Struthio camelus: one gene and its partner. The protein of the gene in region 1 purifies or fractionates together with the protein of each later gene. This does not show direct contact. Links are inferred from orthologs where the notes say so. Each region holds a gene or a part of one and is shown on either strand. Other genes may lie near its edges.

The links. The genes of interacting proteins can lie anywhere in the genome.
Region 2: the proteins of ASB2 (region 1) and RNF7 purify together in Homo sapiens (affinity purification with western blotting; 3 studies listed by BioGRID and IntAct, with this or other methods). This does not show direct contact. The link is inferred for Struthio camelus from reciprocal best matches to the Homo sapiens genes ASB2 and RNF7.

Annotation. Positions count from the first base shown.
Region 1 is NC_090946.1:66,721,647-66,729,705, forward strand, and holds the start of ASB2 (ankyrin repeat and SOCS box protein 2), read right to left. Parts: upstream 3,057-8,059; 5' UTR 2,721-3,056; intron 1-2,720. UniProt on the Homo sapiens protein: Substrate-recognition component of a SCF-like ECS (Elongin-Cullin-SOCS-box protein) E3 ubiquitin-protein ligase complex which mediates the ubiquitination and subsequent proteasomal degradation of target proteins.
Region 2 is NC_090950.1:15,209,351-15,217,423, reverse strand, and holds the start of RNF7 (RING-box protein 2), read right to left. Parts: upstream 3,200-8,073; 5' UTR 3,145-3,199; coding exon 2,967-3,144; intron 44-2,966; coding exon 1-43. UniProt on the Homo sapiens protein: Catalytic component of multiple cullin-5-RING E3 ubiquitin-protein ligase complexes (ECS complexes), which mediate the ubiquitination and subsequent proteasomal degradation of target proteins.

The sequences.
Region 1 (8,059 bases):
CCATCCTGTTCCACCTGGAAATGTTTTTCTCTGTAGCTATAGAGCCATGGGGCTCAGGCACAGATTCAAGTTCTTTCTGCAACAAGTTACTGTGAGCCAGGTGAGCTGTGATAACAGACTAAGTGCATGCCCTTAGCTTGAGGCTAATCCAAAGTAACCTGATTTAGTTTAACCTTCTTTCATTGTGGGCTAAGCTCGGCCACATTACATGGCACTGCTGCAGTCACACAGACTTACCCTGGCTCAACTGACACGGTAGGGCTAAGGTAATATGATCTGGTGGCAGAGCCATTAGTTAGTAGTGAACTACCTGCCACGACTTTACAAAAGCTAACTAGACTAATGTGCTATAACCTAAATATTTTCCACCTTCTATAAGAAAGGTGTGAAAAAAATCAATCTTCATTTGTAGGGATGGTTGAACTAGTAGTTCAGATGAGTACGATCCAACCAAAGTAGTCTCTCTAATTTCAGTGTGAATCTGCCTTTTTTGCTTTCTTTAAGCTTCATTATTGCAGGTTTAACATATTGGAATCAGATTTACAAATTAAATGCTGGGTTAACTGGTCACTCTAGGTTTTTGTGAGAGGTTTTAATGTCTGGCTGTCCCCTGCATTTCTCTGGCAGTCCAAGAGCCCATTCTTACAAGCAGATAACATACAGCATTGCTTTTCCTTTAAGAAGAGAACCTGAATTTTAAAGCTCTGATTACGGTGTCAATATTATTCATTACAGAACCCTTGCCTTCAGGTCTGAATTGCTTCATTACTGATCTCTCTTGGTAGCGAGACACATTTTGGCATTTTGCTGTCTGTGCTGCCATTTAATATCTCAGTTTGACAAGAGGTTTTGGATCTAAATTTATTACCATTTCCACACAGGGCTTGATCGTGCTCTCTCCACGTAGACAATATTCCTACCTGATTTTTAATTTTGCTGTCCTGATTTCAGTGAGAGTTTGTTTAAGATGCAGAAATCAGGCCTGTGACATACCTTAGTTGCAGTTAGTGACAAAAATATAAGGTAAGAAATTAAATGCTTGTGCCAGGGCCAGGCTGTGGAGCTCCTCTTTGCGTTAATGAGCAGCTGTACCTGGCAAGTCCCTGAAAGCAAAGGTACTACTCACCAGGGTGACTATTAGTAACCACTCACATTATGGTAAAATCCACAGACAAACACAATTATGTTGCTATTATATTTGGACTACAAGCTCTGTCAACATACAGTGTTTGAGAGAATGGGCCTCTGATCTCTGATGCAACATAAATAAACAACAAGGATTACAGCTGCCTTTGAACATGCAGAACCACTACTCAACACCATTAGCATCTGAAACAACTGGTCCCCATTGACAGCACTTCCTTAAAGAAAAGCTTAGCAAGGCTGCCTGTCCTTATTCAATAGACCCCAGGCAGCAGAATTAGCAGAATTACTTATTGCTGTCAGAGGAGGGTGGCAGGTGAGTGACAAGGTCATTAAAGGAGCAGAGCTGGAGACTTTGCCTGCCTTAGCACTCGGTTTACCCCGATCAGCTTGTAACTCAGTAGAGAACCTCAGTATTTATGGCTCAGCATCGGATAAACCACATTTCTAAAAACAAAAATAAGTAGTTGAGAGCCTGCAAAAGAAAGAGAAGAGGAGCAATATGCTTGTTTTGCCTTTTCTTTTCCGAGAAATGACTGAGTCCCAGATTCTGCAGATACTGCTCCACATGTTAGCCTTTACTTCTGAACACAGCAGGACATGACTGAAACTCTTTAGAGTAAATGAAGCTTCCACTTTAGTCCTTACCGTTGCACCTTTCAGGCCAGATCCTCTGCTGGCATTGGAAACTACACCAATTTACAGCACTTGAAATATTGACATTTTTGCTGTATTTTAGGTCAATTTCAAGATAAATCACTGCAGTTTTCCAAGTATGCTTGGAAGTAAATCATTTTTTTAAAAATAGAAAGATTTTCAGTGCCCATCAGAAGTGGAGCATTAGAAGAACAACCTCTTATACTGTCCAGCTACAGCTACAGGCAAACATATTTTGTACTAACAACTTATGCAAAGTGGTCAAGTTATAGCCCAGCGCTGAAGGAAGCAAAAAAGCTAGCTTTCCCAAAGGAATCCTCCAAGTAAACAAACCCCTTTGTCAAGCCCCAGCTGTTAAAACAGGTCACCTATCAGTCTGGCATATCGTACAATGCCATCAAATTATGATTCCAAACAGATTCTTTACTGCAAATGTATATATCTGCACGCTCTTATTTCTTCTTAGAAAGCATCAATTCATGTAGCATTCAGTGCAGTATTAGCTTTCTGTTGTACCAGCTGGAAAGCTTTAAGTGAAGGAAATCATTCACTTTTGTCACTTTTTTTCTTCACACTGCCCCTTGCACACTACACTCACTGTACCTTAGCATGCCATAAAAACGACGACAATTATTTCTGAGCAAACTATTCTAGGGAGAAAGACATAAGCATCACCTGCAAGTAAAAGAAAAATAAGGAAATGATGGAGCTACAGTTCTGCTTAACTATTCTAGAATTAACTTTAAACAGTAAGTGTTTTATGGCTTATTTAAAAAAATAAAAGTAGAAACACAAAAACTCCACAGATTATCTTAGGGTGTTAGGTTACAAATTGCTAGAGAAATAAGTATTTGCATAGCCATAGCAAACTGGCAGATTGAAAATACAAAATAAGTTCAAAACATGCACATTTGCATTACCTTTTTGTCCTGAAATAAAAGGCTAATAATATTGTTGAAATGAGTTATCTCCTTGATTAAGTCTTAATTCAGAAAATCCTCGTTGGTATTCATCTCCCTGCTTTGCCTGGATGTTTCGATCAACTGCAGGACAGCTTTGAAACACTCTCACTTTGAAGCCTGGAGTTTATTTCTGGATCACCCCATGATCAGCGAATACAAGCCAAAATATAAGTTGTTCTGAATCTCAGATTTCCTGTTTGAAGATGCACTGGAGAAACTTTTACCCATTCTAAAGTTCTTCTTTGTTGCATTAATCTGTGGAACTTCACTTCATCGAGCATCCTGTAGCTAAATGACACAAAGTTGACCTTTCTATTACATCATTATTTATTGTCCCTGACAAGCAGACCATATATGGACATGTTTCTGGAACCTAAAGAAAAAAAAAGAAATTACCGTATAATTTTGAAATAAAATATGTTATCCTGAAGAGTTTTATTTACTGGGGCGAAGGGATCTCAATGTACCTTTCCTGTAGCTGCTGCTTGTTAAAAAAAAAACAGGGCAAACATTACCACGGGTATTTATAGATGCTTTACAATGGTTCATATATTTTTAAGGCTACAAATGTGAGACTTCAGAATTCCAAAAGATGACAAAAGCAGCTGTGAACCCGTTCCAAGTAGTATTTGTAGGAGCTTACTATTGCAAAAGAACTGCTCTAATAACATGTAAATATGAAAGACAGACCCTATGTCAGATTACTTGAAGCCGTAAATGTGAAATGGTAGCCACCTTCCCCACATCTGGTACAGGGCAAGTTGGCCAAGGAAGAGTGAGCTCTGATCCAAGGATGAGCTAGAAGAAAATAATCAGGCACACATAGAAGAAATGGATTAGCTGGAACACGGGGATAATACTCAGTTTGGAAAGGTTAGTATGTATTGTCCAGCTTATATAATGAATGAGGGGGAACAGCACAATATGAAATCAAGATGATGCCTACACTTTTTCCTTCAGCTCTTACTTCACTGATCCCAGTGGCAAAACAATGCACATAAGTAGAACACACTGCAGATCATAATGGGTCTCTTTTTACTTGAGAATACCTTGTCAAACTTCAGGCTAGTTGTACTCACAGTGTCCATGCATAAACATCGTCCACTTAAGTCTTAGCAAAAGCAATCTTGAAGGGGGCATTTAGCAGGACCACATCATCTATAATATGTGATCTCTTCCAACTCACCTGCTTTGCTTTTAGGGTCTTTCAGGATCAGCATCATTCCCTCTCCTTGCCTGCTCCTTGCTCCGACTTGCTCAGGCCATTATATCACACATCCACCTTCTCTGCTGCCCGTTAAATTATTTGCCCCTTGTAACTGTGTGTTAGAGCAATTGTTTTGCCTATAGTTAACGATATGCAACAGTTACTGTGGCAGGTGAAGGAACTCTGGTTGTCCCTGCCAGGAAGGTGTGAAACTCTCATATCCCTGACAACATGTCAGCCAGCTCTCCAAGACTTTTAAACAATACCCAGACCTTTTTTCCTGATACTACGTCAAGATTGTAATGAGCCTTGGCTTAAAATCAAGAGTGAAAATCTCCCTGATTTAACCTTTCTGTTTGCCTTTTCGCTATTGCTCATTGGATCTACACCCTTGGCACTCTTATAATGTGCATGATGTCCCATTGACCTTAAGGAAAAATGCTGATACTTCGGTGTAGACTCACACCTTGCAAAGGCAAGGGTGCCTAAGTCTTCCAGAATGGACTATTTGATTAGAAAGAAGATACTGGGCTCAAGGTCCCAGATGTTATGAACATTGCAGGTGGTTCCCCACGTCATTCACACCACACACGCTGCAGTTCCCTCCCTCTCACACTCCTGGGTTTCCTTCCAATGCCCAGTCACCCCTCCCCACACTGAAGGATACTCTAGTCCTGAGACACAAAAGTGAGGAGCGCGTCATTGCAAAGTGTGAACCATGCCCTGCTTTTTTTCAGCTTCATCCAGAACAGACCATTCAAGCTGCCCAGCACTTGCCCAGCATGTTTGGGTATGTGCAGAGAGATATGTAGGACTTAGGGCATCAGACCAAGTGGTAAGTGTAACAGTTAGGTGTCTGCTTTGGGTGCAGGCTGCTTTGGTGCACAGCTAGCACAGCACAGTACTGTAACCTCTTCCCCACTCCATGTTTCAAACAACGAAATGCCACAGGATGGCAGATCACGGATGAGCACTGCCAGCTGTAGCTGACAAGGTGTAGAGAAGGCTAGCCAAGGAGAACCACCATGCAGGAGCTCTTTGCACGAGTGTCTCACTCAGTGCATGAAACTGGACATACATGGCAGCATATGTGCCCGTTGCTAGAGGATTGCAGCACTGTGGGCAACAGGGATCTGATCCACTTCAAGCTCCTACAAGTGCTGCTGCACCATTTTCTGATGAAAGCACAGGACTCTGCTTCAGAAGGTCTATTTTCAAATACCACTAACTCTCCCTTCTGTCTTGAGTAAACCATTTAACTCCTCTGTGTCTCATTTTTTACATTAGTGAAGTGGAAATAATCAAATGCATTAACTCAGAGAAGAGTCCAAAATTCCTTGCAGATGGGAAGCCAATGAGACTACTTATACGGATAAAGATTGACGAATAAGACCTTATTTAATTAATATCTGTGAAATACTTTGGTATCCTCAGAGGAAGACCTCATAGAAGTTTAAAATATTAATTACAGAAATATTACTATATAGGAATGAAATCATACATTTGGGGGTTGATTTTTTTCCAATAAAACAATGTTGTGGCTTTATTACAATGCATCCAAAGCATAATAATAACAGTCATTATGATTTATTAGCATTGCATCGGACTTTTTAATATTTCCCCAGGGACACAATCAGTTATGGATCTGCATTTTCAGCTTAACCCCAAGACATTTCAAGAGGTTACAAAATGTTACCTGTAAAAATAAATACATAAATTGAGCCCTTTTTTGGGACAAATTTCAAACTCAGTCACTGCATATGAGTAACTTTTATTTCTCTTTAAATAGAAAATGATGGAGATGATAGCCAGCTCTTACTGACGGGGAAGTCAGGGTCTCGCAAACAGGGTACAATAAAAGAGAGTTGAATCTGAGAGAAGACAAAGGAGGATTACCACAGGAAAACAAGAAATGGATAAACAAACAGCAAGATTCTCTTTATTCTTCATATTTCTTCAAAAGAACCAGCAGAAGTAGGTTTAGGAAAGCACACTTAACATTTGCTCCATTTCTGGATTTGTTCACAAGCTCAGCTTCCATTACTTTGAATTAAGTAGCCCTTCAGTTCTACTAAGCACCGTTTTGTTTTAAAATACACCTGAATCAAGCAACTAAGGCTGGTGAAAAAACAAAGTTAATTTATGCAAACCAGGAGACCAATAGGCTTGTTATAGACACATTTTCTGGGCAAAGCTGGCAATATTTCTGCCATCTCATGAAGAAATGCATGTGAGAATGGACATAACCACAAACTATATTCTCACTGATAGCATATTACTACTGATGATGACTAACTCTACTGCAGTTGGCTCATGGGTACAGTTCTGAAAGCAAGAAAATATTGATTAGTTGCAACAGAATAACAGTCTCAGGACATATAATGTGGTTCCACTCATATGTAATAGTTTTTAAGCGTATGAATATAGCAACTACTGAATATACGCAGATACGAGATGCAAAAAATATGCAGCTAGGGGACCTATTGCATTATGCAGTTGCACAGTCGCTGTTGGATTAGGTTTTCTGCTGACAATTTCTCATGTGTAAAGCAGAGCACATCACAACGCATCACAATACTTTGTCACAGCACAGCGTACTACTTTATGCACCAGTTACCTGGAGCAGTTCACTTGATACTTATACCTTGTCTGAACTTTTTCACTACAGAAAGACAGCAGTATATTTTAGGTGGCATATTTCACTGAGAATATAGATCTAGGGCACATGTCTCTGCACCTTTTACAATCATATTCCAGTGAGCAGAGCCTCAAGCTTTGCCTTACAATTAGTGTGGGCCATGCTGTGCTATCCTCAGACACTCCCAAAGATTAAATGCATATATCAGAACCAAAAACAACCCTCCTGTATCTCCATGTTCAAATAACAAGAAGACAGAAACTCCCACAGGGGAAGATGGTTTCAATTTCCTTTGCAAGAACTAATGATTGCTTTGGCCACAGTACCCTGAGAGAGGCAAGGAGCCAGAGGCACTTCTACGGGAAAAGGTGCAGAATGTCACACGTGCCCAGGGTAGGGAATACAATATACATTATTTCTTGCTGACTTTGCTGCCTAAATACTCCAGTGTTGCAAAGATGTAGGTGTTTTGAGTTCTCTCGACTAAGAACATAATTCCTCTTTCAGGAGGAATTCATCCCACTCTAATAGCTCCTGATTCACACCCACAAGTCCACAGGGTGGACTTTGGCTCAGTATACATTTTCCATGTCTGCACGATGGCTCTTCATAGAGAGTTTTCACCTCTCAGTTACAATCAAAATGGAGTCCTCACTCCTTTAGTGATATGACATGAGCTAAAAAGGGAACACCTAACATTCAGGTTCCTAAGCCCCATTTCAGATATCTGATGACTCAGCCTGGACCTGACCTCCCAGTGAGCTCTGGAAGAACCTACAGCTACTGCACTCATAGCCTCCCTCTGCAAATGTCATCGTAAGGTCACATCCACTGACTCAAACTGAAAGAGGAATCAGTCAGAGGAGAACATGAAATGCTAATACAAAACGAACATGACCTGAAGACTACATAAACAAATACGCGTCCCTTGGAGGAGGTGGGAAAGCATAAACATTATCTTTTAGTTACACTTTACTGTGCAAATATCATTTATTTTATGTTACAATGTGCATTAGTAAGAATTGTTATGAAAGGCTAGTTCTTTTTCTTGACCTTTATAAAATACACAAAATTCAGAGATATTGCTGCAGCCTCATTGCTCTGAGGCCCTTGTAGGGGAGGAGGACAAGAATGCCAGCATGAGACACAGACTACTGTGTATAGCAAAGATACTGGCAAAAAAAGTGACTTCAAAGCAGCAGTGATAGAAAAGTCAAATAGATTTTGATGGGAACCAACATTTCTATGGAGTTTTTTAAAGCAGTCTGTAAAAAACTACAATGGGACTATATCCCTCTATTCAATCCCATAGGCTGATTTAAATTCTGAACAGTTTCCTTCTTCTGCTTTGTAATTTTGAATGCACTCCTCTGATACCCTCTGGTACCCTTTAAGACTGTCATTTGTTTCCAACCATTCTGTCTGTTATGTACCATGCGATCTGCTCTCCTT
Region 2 (8,073 bases), on another chromosome or scaffold:
CAATCTTCTTGTTTGTTTTCAGCTTGACATCTAAGACAGGCATCTAAAAGTAAACAAGAACAAAACCCAATTTGATGCTCAGGATACTGTCTGAAGAATTGTTTGTTAAAGGAAAGTATAAACTCCAGAACATAGGTAAAATCTAACATTTTGCTGGATCAGCCCTTTAACATTAAACTGTCCTCCCACCTAAAATTTAAAAGAGTGCACACGACACAAGGAAATACGTATCTGCAAGAGATCAGAAGGACTACAAACTGTTCAACAACTTTTGTTTATTTTCCATTGCTTCAGTATTTTCACAACTTCTGCTGAAAAAAGTATTCTCCATTTTGCAGATATGACAGCCAGATTTGTGCCAAGGCACTCGCACATACCAAGACCAGAGCAAGCGCATAGCCAAACCCTAATTACAGGGCTTTGTTTTTCAGATGCCAACATCTCCTTTTAAGGAAGTCATTCAAAAATTTGATGGTCTTTAGCCTCTACATCTCCCACCTCACCCCCACCTACTACTACCATTTTTTTAAATGTTTGTTTTCCTTAAAGGATACCTGCTTGTAATTTTTGCAATACTGACATATGCACACAAACTATTTTTAAACACTGATCAGTCTGATAGCATAAATGAGGAGATAAATGGGGAAAACATCTAACTAAAAATATTTATCTTCTTTGTACGCTCCAGTCTCTGTGCCTACAGGTCTAGATGACAGATTCAGGATTACAGATGTACTAGGGACAACTTCCAGGCTTTGTACCGGGCCACACAAATACAGAGGAAGCATGCCTTCATTTCTCCTTTGCTCCAACTTGGACTGCCACAGACACGCATGCACAGATCGTGCACAGCAAAGCGTTCAACTATTATGGCAGCATACACAGTGCAAACACATCTTCATCTCCTGCAAAGGAGAGGTAATCGTTTAGACAAAAGCATCCCAGAGGCTGGACTGGGCCTGCAGGTCAACAGCTGGAACATTGTTCTACAACATACAGAACTGACATAACACAGGACTTTCAGTCCGAGTATTTCTTCTTTCTCTACCAGATACTGCAAGGTGCTTCTATTTCAGATTGACCTGCCAGATAGTCCTCCTTTTTCAGCTAATACAGAAGGAAGAGCATCCAAACTTTTAAGTATTTGTCCTTTCCTCACGAAGATGAAAGAAAGGCAGTAAGTAAAGTTTCTTGTTTTCTATTATGATAATTCCATAGCATCTAGGGGTCAAACTGCAGTGAAGATTCAGCCAAACTGCTTCAGTTTACAGCAGGGCACATCAAAATAAACTGATCTGGAGTCGCATCAGTATGCTGGGTAGTAAGCTGCGGTGGGCTAGTAGCTGCTGTAAAAGAAGCTTACCTATTCCAGCTCTGGGTTTGTTTCAGACAAAGAAGCAGCACGGACAGCTGAGGACACAAATCACTACACCTGTACCAACATAAGCTGCCCCCCAACTCCTGCATCACAATCCTAAGGGTGTTAGTCTGTGAAAGGTTAAATAAATTAAGTCAGTACTGCTGCAATCCTGCCCTTTCCAGACAACGCCTCTGCATTGCTGCTTCTTTCCCCTCGTGCTTCTGTGATCCTTGAAGCCCAAGTTGGTTCAAGGAGTTAAACCAGTAAAGAAAATTAAGCCAGCTCACATTTCCTTCCCCTGCAAAAAAAAAAGGCAAACCAACCTCAGATATGCAGAGCCAGCTCAAGTCTTGCTCAGCCTCCAACCTAAGGCTACTGCAGATGCGCTGGATCTACAGCAGCCAGACCAGGTCTGGCAGGGGTCAACATTAAATTGCTAAAGGTGGTAATAATAAAGTTTCACATTCAAAAAATCTGGTTTGTGCTAAATTTAAAAATTGTTCATTTATAATTTTTCATAATTAGACCAAGGGAGTATTTTTCATCTGAAATCATCAGAGAAAGCCGATAGCCACTTTTAAAAGTTTTCGTAAAACATCTGGATGACTTTTTGAGGACTTTTTACACTTCCCTTTAAGTGGAATGATTGTTTTTGTAACAGTCCTGAGTAATCAAGTGAAGTTGCCTCTCCAGCAGTTCTGTTTTCTCATAAATCATAGAGTAGCAGTAACAGCTGGAACAGGCAAATTCACTCCTAAAATTACGGTTTACTTTTAGCAGATAAAGCCAATTTCATAGTTCTGGGCTGGTCTCCATTCACCACCTGAGAGCAGGCCTGGAACAACTTCAAGATACGCTCAGAGAAAAGGCCGGTCTCCCACCGCCTCAGTCTGGGCTGTGTCTTTCCTGCAGGACACCTGCGTGCTTTTTCTGTTCCAACGACCCTTCTCCGTAAAAACACGGATCTGAGAAGTGGCTGCCCGGCACCTGCCGCGTCCCCAAGCGGGACCAAAGGTTAAGGCCAGAGCGGGCTGGCGCGGCAGGACCTCAGGCGACCCGTCGCGCCGAGCGCAGCCCCGCGCTGCCGACCCACCCAGGGGCTCCCGGGCAGTTATGTCGGGGATGACTCAGCACAGAGGCCAGGGCGGATACAGAGACACAGCGGAAGAGGAATTTACGGAATTTCCAAAGACCCAAAGCGGTCAGAAAGCACGAAGGCCAGCCAGTGAGGAGGGCTGCACCCGGAGAGAGTCTCCTCAACGCCAGGTAAGCGACGCCGTTGTTTTTCGCTGCGCTTCTCAGCGACGGTGCGCGCGGCTACGAGCGCGCCGCCGTCCCTCCGCTACCGCTTCTTCAGAAAGACGGGCGCCGCGCGTCTGCCCGCTCGGCCGTAACCCGGCCGGGCCGCGCTCGCCAACGGACGAGAAGCGGCCGGGGGGGGGCGGGGGGGGCGGGAGGCCGCCCCCCGCGTCTGCCCGCCCGCCCCCGCCGCGAGGGGAAGCGGCGCGGCGGCCGGGCGGGGCGGGAGCCGCCGCCGGCGACACCTCCCCCGCGGCGGGGGCGGCGGCCATGGCGGGCCGGGCCGGGCCTGCCGGGCGGCGCTTACCCATGACCTGCACGCGGCAAATGGCGCAGGTGTCGCACTCCACGTCCCAGCTCCACATGGCCACCGCGTTCCACTTCTTCAGCGAGAACATCTTGTCGGCGGCGCCCGCCTTGGAGCCCGAGGAGCCCGGGTGTGAGTGGGAGGCCCCGGGCTCGTCCCCGTCCTCCACATCGGCCATGGCGGAGGGGCGGGGCGGCGGGCGGCGGAGCGGGGCCGCAGCGCCACCCCGCGGCCGGAGGAAGGGCCGGGCCGGGCGGCTCCGTGAGGGGTGTCGGGGCCGGGCCGGGGTCTGGCCCCAGCTCCCTTGGATAAGACCAAGGCAAGCAATACCCATAATTATTTTAAAAGAAAAGAGGAATTTGGATTCCTTTCCTCACCTTAATCCAAAAAAAAAAAAAAGTATATAAAACTCATTCTTCCAAAATAGCGCCCCATCTCCTTAAGCCTACTTTGAAGTTTAATGTAAATTTGTTAATGTCGAAATTCATGCACAAGTTGAAAAGACAGACTGCTATAGTTAACATGAGGACAAACAAATTAACGGGAGTAATTTAAATTTTACAAGCAAAAGTTAGAAACAGCGTACCTTTCTTTTCCTCTTCTCAAGAGCTTCCAGTGCGTCGGCTGCACAAAGTTCTCCGAGCGTATTGCCAGCTGGGGCGTCGTGCTAACTTCAGAGTACTTGATTAGGCTGCGTTTAAGAACCACAACACTTACAATCTGTTCCAATAAGATACAATGTCATGGAGTTACACTAAAATAATGTGTTATATTAATAGTATGCATTTAAAGGAAATTATGCTTTAAATTATTTTAAGCGTCAGATGAAAACAAAGATTTTAAGGACAAAATCTTTGGCAGCACAAAGGAGACACAAAGGGTGTCTCTCTCTTATACCCAAAGAAACGGTACAAGCCTCCGCCGTCCAACAGGTACGAAGGTAGCATAACAGGACTGAAAATGAAATTCCACCTACTTCCATTCTCTCCTGTTCTCTGGAGCAGTAACATCATCAAAATCCTGATTCAACAGGGATTGGATTAGTTTAGTGCATTTATCTAGTTAAAAATTTCTGGTCTACTGTCCTCAATATTATCAGGCTATCACGTCCCCGATGGTTCACTAACATCACAGGAGACAGAAACCCCAGGGAGCTGCATTTCACTACATCAGTGATCCTGCTTAATTACAAAGAACCTATTTGTTGGAGCCCTCCCAGCCCTCTCATGCCAGCTGGGACACCGAATACAACGAAGCAGAGGAAACCTTAGAGTACTCCCATCACTCCAAGTGATTCCACTTGTATAAGTAGGGCAAGTTGGGTTTGAATATCTGATTATTATAAATTGCATAAGGAGAAAGTAATTATTTGAAGAAAGACCAGTTTCAATTTCTGTTTTAAAGTTTGCGAGGCTGTTAGTGTGGGGCCCAGAATTATTAAACAGTTTTCCAAACGTTAAATGCATGAAGCAAACAGAAAATCCCCATTTAAAAAAAAAAAACAAAACCAAAAAACCAAATAATTTTCTCAGCAGCTTTACATATGTATGTAGCATTTACTTTTATATGTCGTTTAGGACGTTTCTGTGGAGGTATACCATAAAACACTCCCATATCCCATAGCACAGCTTGAATGTGAAAGATCAACAGTGAGACATTGCAGATGTGGATGGACAATACTGATTCACCTCAGCTTGTCCACAGAACAAAAAAACTAAAGGAAAAAGTCTTCTCTGTCCCTAGTTCTGACCAGGGGTGGGCTGACAAACCAGCAAGAAAACCCGAGCTGGAGCTAAGACTTCTCATATCCGCTTGAGTAGAGAGAAGGGAGAGAGGTAGCTGCTTTTCTAGGAGAGCACAGGTTGTGTTTCTTTGGAAAAAGGTGCAGTAAGGAACAGTTTGCCAGAAACAGTTTCCATAGCTGGTTCAGGAAGTGGTTGAGACTTAAACAGTTCTACTAAGATGGACTGCTCGGTTTTACTAAATTTTAAGAACAGTTTAGGGCCATAACAGCTGGGAATAACCCCCATGAGGAAAGGGTAACTGGAGCATAATACATTTCTACCATTTTCCTACACTACCAATTGAAAAAATTACTACCAGAGGAAATCTGATAAGTTTCAGCCCCTCTTCTGACACTGGAACAATACAGTAAGTAATAGTAACAATAATATTAAAAAAAAAAAAAACCTATATTCTCATCCTAAATTCTAAGCACGTAGCTTTTATGATCTTTTAAACATGGATTCTCACTCTGACAAAATATGACTATAATGCTGTATATCGTTTTAATTAAATATGCACTTTATAAAAGTTAATTTAAGAAAAAGCAGTTTTGGCTAGATTACCTGAATTTTATGATCCATAATCAATCCCTTATTTTCTTCACCTTCAGGAACTTGAAAACTTTTATTTGTAAAACTCATAATTGAGGCTCTAAATCAGAACTGTTCTTACCTTCAGTTATGCAATGTTAAAACTCACACTACTCCGGCACGCTAAACAAAGACTTCTTTTTGCTTTCTCAGTATAGCATAAAACAAGGGAGTTCAAGTTGCTGAGAAGGAAATCATTTCCAAGTCATTCTGTGGGCCATGCTCAGAATGAATTATTTCTGGAGTAAGTGGTACACCTATCCAGCTTTCCAAGTGCCGTGAAGTAAGTGTGAATAGAAATAAAAAATTTTCACCACTGAACATCAGGTGAAAAAAAAAAAGATACTTTGCTCCTATCTTAGCTGGTTCACACTGCTCTCAATCCACACTGTCCAATTCCCAAATTCATAGTCGGCAGCCAGGGAAAGAACATTACTGGCTTGATGGCACTGAGCCTCTGGCTCAGCCAGAGTTGAGAGATCTGTAAACTTGGGAGGACCCACCATATGTAGCTGTGAGAGACTCAAGCTGCAGCATCATTATGCTGTATAGCAGAGTCTGAGGATAAACTGGACTATAGATTACGCACCAAAAAAACCCCAATCTCTATTTCCCAATCAGAGAGAAATACAATTAACCTACAGTGAAAATATTTAGATGCAAAACTGCTTCTCTCTCTCTCTCCCTGCTGACCTATCTTACCACAAGGTCTCTCAACAGGCTCTTAGCAGCTATCATATTTTTACTGCATCAGGAAAGAGAATATTAGAAAAGATCAACGACAAGGTTGTAACAACTACTGTAGTCACACACTTGTACTTCTTAGATTCAATTCTTTGTACCTGATCATATTCCTCCCTCCCCTGTTAAACTGTTATGGCACTTGTGAATCTGAATTAGTGGGACTAGGCATGATCTAGAAAAGTTTAAAAACAAATTTTGAAATTTGAAAAGAAAATGTATATGTAATTTTCCTGTCTCTGATGATATGTCTTCTTATACCTTTTCACATGGGTGTTTAATAATTTTAACTGGATCCTTGAATTTTGAACATATGTTTGGAAAGTAAAAATTTTCTGAAATTGAAGCACATTATTTCTGCTTTGTAGAGTATCAGCTGCCTCTCTCCCTATTTTTTTTAAACTTACATGATTAGCTGGATTGCTTAGGTGAATTCCCAGATACATAATTCTTTTCCAAAAAATATCATTTGTCTTTAATTGTTCTTATCAGAGGTGAGAGGGAAACTAGATGCAATTCTCCTCTTCAGTTGTAAAAACTCATTAGAACAACCTATAAGACAAAATGTAATTATATTTGGATGCCATCAAGATGTAGCACATTTGTCATGCATTTTGCAAATGCAAATATAAAATACACTTTTTAATAATTGGGCAATGCAAGTTTTAACCTGTAACTGTTCCTGGATTTCTTAATTTCACAGTGCTATAAGCAGCTTTTCCTGCACAACTGTGCAGGGTGCACTGCAGCTGAAGGGAGAGACAGCAACAAGTGGGAACAACGGGAACTGCTCTGTTGCTGACACGCCAGGGATAGAAAAACAGTCTGAAGTCAGTAAAATACCAAAGGTGGTCAGCAAAAACAATTACGATCCCTTCCTCTGGTCTTTGCACCTCTCCCCTTCATATAAGGGGCCATGAGGCACTACCAATTCCTTTCCTGAGCCTCCAGTTCAACAGAGATACAGTTCTGAATTGGTTCAGAAAGCCTGAGATGTCCTTTCATATAGGGCAGGGGAAAGAGAGACAGAGAGAGGGACACAGCAGGAGACATTGCTTTCAATAATTAGCGTGAAGGAGATGAGTTTTAAAACTATTTTTTCCAAATAAAAAAAATTAAGTGTTACCTCCTTTTTATGTCCTGACTAGCCTCCTCTCACCTCATCTACTCATACGCTCACTGTGTATGGGCCAAAATTTACATTAGCAGTGAAAGTTGCACAGCAAGTAAGAGTCAGGTACCTTTAACACTGTGTATCTTGCTTTATAGGAATAATTATTAGCTGAAAAACTACTATTTGGGGGAGGGGGCGCTATTTTATCATCTAAACAGCTCTTAAAAAAAAAAAATTACAAGCATTTTTGGAAAAATACTGTCCTGGCACTCTAAAATTCATTTGTTCCCCACAGACTCCTGTAGCTCACATGACACTGAGAAGTCAGCATACAAGAGTAGCACAGAACATAACAGCTCTTTCAGTGAGTTTTCCCTATGTACTTTTTCCACTGTGTTTATCTGTAAATAGAAATTCATTATTGCAGAGAGGAAGACTGCATCGGCTCTATTCATTCAGACTTTACTGAAGATGTCCTGTCTAAATGCAGGAACTTGAACCAAGTTTCTTTCAGTTACTCAAATGATTGTTCAGCTAGAATTATAGCTGCTCAGCCTATTGCATGCTACAGAATAGGAAAAAAAGGTTGTTTGACAATTGTAGATGGCAAGGTACATAATAGTAGGTATCTAAATTCAGAATATTGTTTTATTAATTGATTATAAATTGTATACATTTCTGGAATAATTTCAGAGCAAAGATACAGTGTAATTCAGTAGGAATTTATTCTGGATTCTGATTTTATGGGACATAAAAGAATACCCATCCAAAGCTCTGAGTGTTTGACATCCCATCTTCAAAACAGAAAACTTGCACAATTGCCTAATAGTTGCTTTCTTTTCATACTCCTAATCCCAGTTCAAATGAAGAGAGAGAT